2 linked regions of the Tribolium castaneum genome follow. The protein of the gene in region 1 interacts with the protein of each later gene in a pairwise test. Links are inferred from orthologs where the notes say so. Each region holds a gene or a part of one and is shown on either strand. Other genes may lie near its edges.

Region 1 (4,510 bases):
AAAACACATAATTTTGCGCGTTTCACACAATGCACTGTTTGTTGAAGCGGTTATTTCATTAATTCCAGGCAATAAACCATCCTTCAACGACCTTGACAGAAAATGGGCCCATCGGGACTTGTCACTTGCGCTGTAACTTTTAGCCAATCAGTAGACGGCACGCAAATACGTCACGAGATTACACTTTTGAAATTCATATGAATTTATATGCATGTTTGTATGACTTGGAGAAGATTATAATTACCGGACAATGGAAATTGTAATATACAAGGGTATTCCAAAGATATGGTGCCACACTTTAGGGAGGTTCTTGCGTGAGAAAACGTTTGTATACAACCCTTAGTCGAAAATATGCCGTTTCTCCCCTGGAGCCAGTTTGGTCCAAATACGAATTACTATTTTGTTCATATTAAAAGACTTCGATATTTATTAGCTAAAACATAGCTTATGGAAAGTTTTTGAGTTAGGTGTAATTTTATTTTTGATCGTAATACCTAGTAGCCTTTGATTTTAAGCCAATTTAATTTAAATAAAGAACATATAGATTCGTCATGGAAGGCGAGAGTCTAAAACTAGCATATTCTTCGTTTTAGGTTACATCATCCCGTTAATTTGAACTTTAAATTGTACCCCCCACTTTTTAAAACCACCCCTAACTCAAAAACAAATCTACAATTATGTGTTTTCTCTACAATTAGATTAGTTTTCCCTTCTTTCTAATATATTTTTTTTTCTAATAATGATTCAAAATGTAGAAGGCGGTATTTAAAATGTCAAAGGAGTGGCTAGCGACTAGGGAATGAAGCCTAAACATAAACATCTTTAATGTTGGTTTTGACCTCTACCTTTGCAAGTCAAATTGAATTGTTTGTTTGTTTAAATCAAATGGGCTTAAAATCAAAGGCTCCCAATGACTAAAAATTTCAAAATGCAAATCAACATTTTTTTACGGTTAGACAAGCTTTTTCTTTCTATTCCAAAAATTGAGTGTCATTTAAAATTTAAAAAAAGGGGTGACTAGCGTCTAGGGAATTGGGGGATGTTTTTAAGGGTTATTTTAAAGCCCTGATCTGCAAATTATTATTGGTTCTGCAAAATTGAAATTCCCCTCCTAGTGGTGTATCTGATTTTTTCACTGCACTGTTATCAAGCTAAACAACACTATTAACTAATAGTCATCACCACTGGGTTACAATCGTTACTTTTTATTAAAAACCACAAAAAACACGATGTAAACAACACGTTTGTAATCTTGTGACATATCAACGTGGCGGTTCTCCCACTCCTCCAAAGAGTTACGGCGCAACCATGTCTCTACTAATCATGAGATGAACTTGGTCGAAATTTTGATTAAACGGTTGATTATTTTAAATAATCTATATGTAAAATGAACATAGTAAAATACTGCTCTAAAATATTGTGATTATGCAACCGCCTTTACAGCTCTAGAGTGACAATATCGGATGAACAACTTTTCAAAAGACATCGATTGATAATTTTTAAACGCAAATGTGTTTTTCATCAATTTATTAATCTTTTTCGCAATCATGCGCCTAAATTGGTTACATTTTCGCCAATTTACAACAATTCTATCAAGAAAAAATCGGCCGGTAATAAAGAACTCTACCCTTTCACAACAAACCAATTTTCGCAAAATATACGGGCCCTTTGCACCACGTAGCCAAAACTTGTAACTAGCGGTAGGGGGCTGTTCGCGGGGCCGCGTCTTTGCGGGTTTAATGCCCCCTTATCCGTTGTCTTGATCTCTTTAATCCCCTTGGGTGGGGATGACTTTAATGATGTCGGCCATGTTGTGTTGAAGTGTTTTTCTCCTGTCAAATTGTGTAGTTTTTCGCGAAAATCGAGTGAAATAATGGATGAAACGAAAGTTATTTATCACATAGACGACGAGGAGACCCCCTATTTAGTAAAGATACCGATTTCGCCGGAAAAAGTGACCTTATCTGACTTTAAAAATGTGTTAAATCGCCCCAATTACAAATTCTTTTTCAAGTCGATGGACGATGATTTCGGGTAATTCTCTCGTGTGTTTCACCCTTCGGGTGATTAAAACGTAACAATTCGTTTGCAGAGTCGTTAAAGAGGAAATCATCGACGACAGCGCACATTTGCCGTGTTTTAACGGACGTGTTGTTAGTTGGGTACGTTTCTAGCTCGCTAGAGAAGGGGGCGCATTAATTGCCCTACAGTTAGTTTCAGCCGATGGCTCAAATCAATCGGATGGGGGCTCACAGTGCACTGACAGTGTCACACACCAGTCGGAACGTGTGCCCCCCCAAGCCCCCGAATCAATCTGCACCGACACTGAAAGTATCATTAGTTCGAGACAGGGAAGGCGCCACCACAAATACTCATCACGAATTAACGGACACCTTCCACGGTACTGTTTTCACTTATATTTATAAGTCTGTGGTAAATAATCCCAATTTTAGAGTTTACGAAACCGCTTCAATTGTCAGTTCCGATTTAGAGACCACAAGTTTTCAGTCTGAGACAACCGGAAGACACACGGCCCTCTCAGAATGCTCCAGTGTGAGTCGGTTACATGTCGCGGGGCGCAAAAGACCGCAAAGACGACGAAAACAACGAATGCAAGCAATGTCACGAACATCCTCATATTCCAGCATCACAGATTCGACAATGTCCTTGAATATTATAACAGTGACCTTGAATATGGACACGGTTAATTTTCTAGGAATTTCAATTGTGGGGCAAAGCAATAAAGGGGGCGACGGTGGCATTTACGTCGGATCCATTATGAAAGGGTACATCACAATTTTATTTTGTGTGTCTCATTAATTTGATGTAAATTTTTATAGGGGGGCTGTCGCCCTTGATGGTAGAATAGAACCAGGCGACATGATTTTGCAAGTCAATGACGTTAATTTTGAAAATATGTCAAATGATGAGGCGGTTAGGGTTTTGCGAGAAGTGGTCCAAAAACCAGGGTTGGTATCAGAAAAATATAAGCCCAATTTTTTTATTCAATTTTCAGACCGATCAAGCTGGTTGTGGCGAAGTGCTGGGATCCCAACCCCAAAGGCTACTTCACTATACCTAGAACTGAACCAGTGAGGCCTATCGACCCAGGTAATTAAATCACTATACAGTGGAGTCTGCTTATAACGAACTTCCGGCTATAATGTACTATTTTTCAAGCACCAAAAAAAATCATTCCATGAAGGCATTGGCAACTTATTTTTCGTATTTTATGTTTCAACGGAAATTGAAAATATCTTTAGGTTCTATTTAAATTTTTTCGCGATGAGAAATAAGCGAGATAATCGCTTTGAAAGGAAGAAATCATGACGTCACAACGTAACACTGAACCCTCCAATCACCAAAAACTTTTTTGAGAAATTGAGATTTGAGAAATCTTTATAAACTCTGACAGTGTCACCTAAAAGTCAAAAACCATTTGATCTTTATATCGGACCAAATGCTGGAGACGGTTACGACATCATGATTTCTAATTTAAATCGAAATAACTTGAGTTAAAGAGCAGTTACAGAGAAACGGTTTTCACTATTGTAATAAGTGTTTAGTCTTCACTTAAGACAAAGTTGTTTTTTAAGTTGCCAATGCCTTAAAGCTCAATGTATTTTTTACCGCTTATAACGAACTAAATTTGACTTAAAATCTGACGCAATTTTCTGTTTATAACGAACTTTTGAGGAATATGTTGGGGTTGATAATGACAAAGCCGCAAGAGAAGTGTTAACTGATAAACAGATTATTGACTTACTAACTAAAAACATTTTAATAATTAAAAACATGTGTTTGTAAACATAACTACGGTGCGAATTTGCTAGTTGTGCAAATATTTCTTGATAAAGCTCAAGGAAGTCAAAATAAATTAACTTATTTTATCCAAACTTTTATTACTTCTACTAGTTTTTGAGATATAGAGAGTACAACCTCCACTTCAGCGTCTAAAATTAAGGACGCTTTTTCCAAAGTTGACTTTACTAATTGGTGGTGACATATGAGCAAATGAAATTCTGTAATATCTTCGCCACAAAAAAAATTGGTACAAAATTTTTACATTTTTATAATTATTTACGAGATGACTTGTTTTTCTGTAGCTGTTTTTGCTAATTTAAACTTAGTGTACTAGATATTGAAGAACTAAACTCTTAACTAAGGAACACTCAGAATTCATAATTTTTGGTTTTATAAAGTTTACTTTAAACGCAAATAACTCGAGAACGGTACATTTTAGCGATATGCAACAAGTGTCCCTTTTCTAAAGAAAAATGAATGGGCTTTCAATTTTTGGTATAAAAGAAGTGGGTGAAAAATCAAGTTATGGTCAAAAAACTGGAAGGGACGCATTGCAATCGGAAATGTACAACTTCCGTGTACATCACATTAAAGAGCGTCTTTTACATCACATTAAAGAGCGTCTTTTCGTCTCTTACATTGTCAAGTTTAATAATTGGATAATCAATAAGGAAGATATTCTCCAAAAATTATTTTTCATACCGAC
Region 2 (3,822 bases), on another chromosome or scaffold:
ATAAAAATATTTTTAGTTTATGGATTTTAAGTCGATCTATAAGATAACAAAACAGAATCGCAATATTTTAAATAATAAAAAAGTTATAGACCGATTACGCACCCCTGGGTCAGCCTGTACAGTTTATTATAAGATTTATTCAAAACATCTATATTAAATCATCTCTATTAATATTTTACTAAACAAGACTGTAATTCAGTTTTCAATGTTTGAGACTAAGACGGAAATGCAGCATCTAAAAACGACTCTGAAGACTTCTGTGACCCCCATGTCCCCCCCCTTTCTACAGTAATGAAGTGTTGGACCCCATAAATTCAGTTTATTATCAGATTTTCAAGTCACAAGACATTTTCTTTTAAAGCACATTTTGTTAAACGATTGTTTCTTTCCTGCCCTATAACTAGCTTATGGTTAGTCCCACAAAAAAATGCATTTAACTATTTTGTAGGAAATTTTATCAGTTTTAATTTTGGTAAGAAGAAAAAAATTGATAGGACGAACAGTTTCCGAGATATAAGCAAAAAAAAACAAAAAAAGACTGCTTTAACCCCCTCCCCCTCGACGAGCTCGCCTCAGGGACCCAAGTGTAAAGAAAGCTTTAAAAAAAACTCCATCTCTCTAGTAATTTTTTCCACCGATTTTTCTAATTTGACTGGGCTATTAATTTTCCAAACAATATTTTAAACAAACTGTAGAAGAACTGTAAAAGACTGGGTTGAAATAAAAACCGATCCACTAATAAAAATCACTTGGCTTTCTTTTTTTTTTCTCTTTTCAAACTTTCACGATATTACAACTTTGACTCACCAAGATCGGGAAAACTCGGAGGCGGCGGCAACCGTTCCAACGGCGACCCAACCGCCGGCACATCCGAATCAATACAGAAATACAGAAAGAAATACAAATTTATGACGGACGGGACAAAAAAACTCGTGTGTGAAAATAGCTCTAAAAAATTTTTTGAGACAGGTTTTAATTATTAAAGACTTTAAATATATTAAAATTAAATAGTGGAAATTAAGAATTCTTGATTTTTTTTAAAAACGTAAGAAATAAAAACAACATATTATGTTTGCGATTACGGACGGGGAAACAAAAATTATAAAGGTAAAAAAATGATATTAAAGCCGCACTTTTAAAATTTGAAACACGAGCCAAAGAAAAAGAATACAGAAAAAAATACAGAAACACAGAAAGAAATTCAAATTTACGACGGACGGGACAAAAAAATCTTGTGTGTGAAAATAGGTCTAAAAAATTTATTGAGACAGGTTTACATTATTAAAGACTTTAAAAATATAAAAATTAAACAGTGGAAATGAAAAATTCTTGGGTTTGTTTAAAAACGTAAGAAATAAGAACAACATATTATGTTTGCGATAACGGACCGGACATCAAATATTATAAAGGTAAAAAAAGTAATATTAAAGCCACACTTTTAAAATTTGAAATACGAGCCAAAAAAAAGAATACAGAAGAAAATAATAAAGAATAAAGAAAAAAATACAGAAATACAGAAACAAATACAAATTTATGACGGACGGAACAAAAAAACTCGTGTGTGAAAATAGCTCTAAAAAAATTATTGAGACAGGTTTTAATTATTAGACTTTAAAAATATTAAAATTAGAAGTGGAAATTAAAAATTCTTAGCTTTATTTAAAAACGTAAGAAATTAGAACAACATATTATGTTTGCGATAACGGACCGGACATCAAAAATTATAAAGGTAAAAAAATAATATTAAAGCCGCACTTTTAAAATTTGAAATACTCGGGGACTCAAGTGTAAAGAAAGCTTTAAAAAAACTCCATTCTCTAGTAATTTTTTCCACCGATTTTTCTAATTTGACTGGGCTATTAATTTTCCAAACAATATTTTAAACAAACTGTAGAAGAACTGTAAAAGACTGGGTTGAAATAAAAACCGATCCACTAATAAAAATCACTTGACTTTCTTTTTTTTTCTCTTCAAACTTTCACGATATTACTCACCAAGATCGGGAAAACTCGGAGGCGGCGGCAACGGTTCCAACGGCGACCCAACCGCCGGCACATCCGAATCAATACTCATCGGACTCTTTCCATCTTGACTCGGACTCGTTAAACTAAGACTAGTTCGTTGAGGACTCTTCTCCTTCCCATCCTCCTTATTATCTTTAAAGCTATTGCAACTGTCAGTCGACGGCTCTCTCTTCTTCAAACTCACACCAAACCTCGAACTCGCCTCCTCCACCGAAGGCTGCAGCGTACAAACATCACTATTCTCATTACTCAACTCCTCACTCCTCCCGACTGTTCTCTTCGTCGTAAGCGGCGAAATCGGAATCACTTTCTTCCTCAAATCGGCCATCACGACACCATCGGGCACATCAATCGGCCCGTCGAATTCTTCAGGCGGTGGCGGCAAATCGGTGGGAGGCGGCGGAAACTCCAGGTCGGCCAACGTCGGTTGCACGGACCTGGAGGGACTGCCGCCCCGGAAAGTGTTGTTTTGAGCCGCCCGGAAAGTCCGGAGACTGCTCCGGACGTCTCCGGTGTTGTTCCGCGAGATGTTCCGGGTGCGGGATAACTTCGAGGACGTGGGGGAGCTTGGAGGATGGGTTGCGTGGAAAGTGGTGACACCTCCGGAAGAGTTGCTCCGGATCATTTGGGGTTGGGTCCGAATGTTGGTCCGTGGTGATAGAGACCTGGGGGTGGTTTCCGTCGGTTCGGGTGTGTCTTCATTGGTTGACATTCCGCTCTGTTTTAAAGATTCAAGATATGCGCCGATTCGGGCGCCTTTCGGAAGAGTGCCATAACGACTGATTGCTTTTCGCACGTTTTGGACTTCGAGAGCCGCCACTTGGACCTAAAACACAGTTAAATGATTTGGAAATTATTTCATTGGGGGCTGGCGTACAGCAGGGGTTACGTCTTTTGTCTTAGTCTTTTTCCCTCTCTGTTCCAAGCCCCTGTTGCCCATAATGGGGGCTCGTTTGAATGAACCGGTGGTGCAACCTAGGTTGCTTACGGATGAGACTTCCGGGTAGGAGTGGGCACCGGAATCGTCCGTGTCGGGGGTTTGGTCTTGGAGGTCGCTTTCGCTGTCGCCTTTTGTGCTGGCGGTTAGGTTTTGGAGTTCACGGGTTAAACCTGGATCGAAAAAAGATTGTGAATGCATCACAAGAAAATAAAATAATTGTAGAAATTGATTAATAAATGACAGTTTTGACAATGATTGAAAACAAGCCCCCTAGAAAAAGCTTCTTTGATGGATAGTTTTTAAAATAGTATAAAAAATATGAATTTTCAAAATTATTATTTCTTTTGAATTCGTGACTTCTCTTGGCTATAAATTTGTCGTTAGGATTCTCTGTAACACAGAATTATTTTCTTATATAGAAACTTTCAATTTGTGCTCAATTTCACCCGAAAAAATGCAAATGCGCTGTTCCCATTTTCTACTAAGAACTGAGATGGGCTATAATTTCATTGATTAGTGTTATCAACCTTTCAGTATTTAGCCATTCCATTTTAACGGACAATTTGCACTATTTTTAGATTTTATTTTCAGTTTTTACGAACAGTATCAGTAGAAGTGATTTTTTTTCTTTTGAGGAACTTAGTACCAGCACAGGTACCAGTCAAATTTTTTGCAATCTACAATTAGAGCTACACTTTTAAAACTTGAAATACGAGCCCAAAAAAAGAATACAGAAAAAATAATAAAGATTAAAGAAAAAAAACAGAAACACAGAAAGAAATACAAATTTATAACGGACGGGACAAAAAAATCTTGTATGTGAAAATAGCTCTAAAAAATTTGTTGAAACAGGTTTTA

Evidence for each region.
Region 2: the proteins of dsh (region 1) and Abl interact in binary tests that used the Drosophila melanogaster proteins (3 or more experiments, as listed by UniProt). The link is inferred for Tribolium castaneum from reciprocal best matches to the Drosophila melanogaster genes dsh and Abl.

What each region holds. Positions count from the first base shown.
Region 1 is NC_087401.1:8,564,720-8,569,229, forward strand, and holds the start of dsh (segment polarity protein dishevelled homolog DVL-3), read left to right. Parts: upstream 1-1,640; 5' UTR 1,641-1,873; coding exon 1,874-2,034; intron 2,035-2,092; coding exon 2,093-2,162; intron 2,163-2,210; coding exon 2,211-2,401; intron 2,402-2,453; coding exon 2,454-2,786; intron 2,787-2,840; coding exon 2,841-2,969; intron 2,970-3,016; coding exon 3,017-3,111; intron 3,112-4,510.
Region 2 is NC_087394.1:5,633,979-5,637,800, reverse strand, and holds part of Abl (tyrosine-protein kinase Abl), read right to left. Parts: intron 3,135-3,822; coding exon 2,902-3,134; intron 2,851-2,901; coding exon 1,995-2,850; intron 1-1,994. UniProt on the Drosophila melanogaster protein: Arm and Abl proteins function cooperatively at adherens junctions in both the CNS and epidermis; critical for embryonic epithelial morphogenesis regulating cell shape changes and cell migration.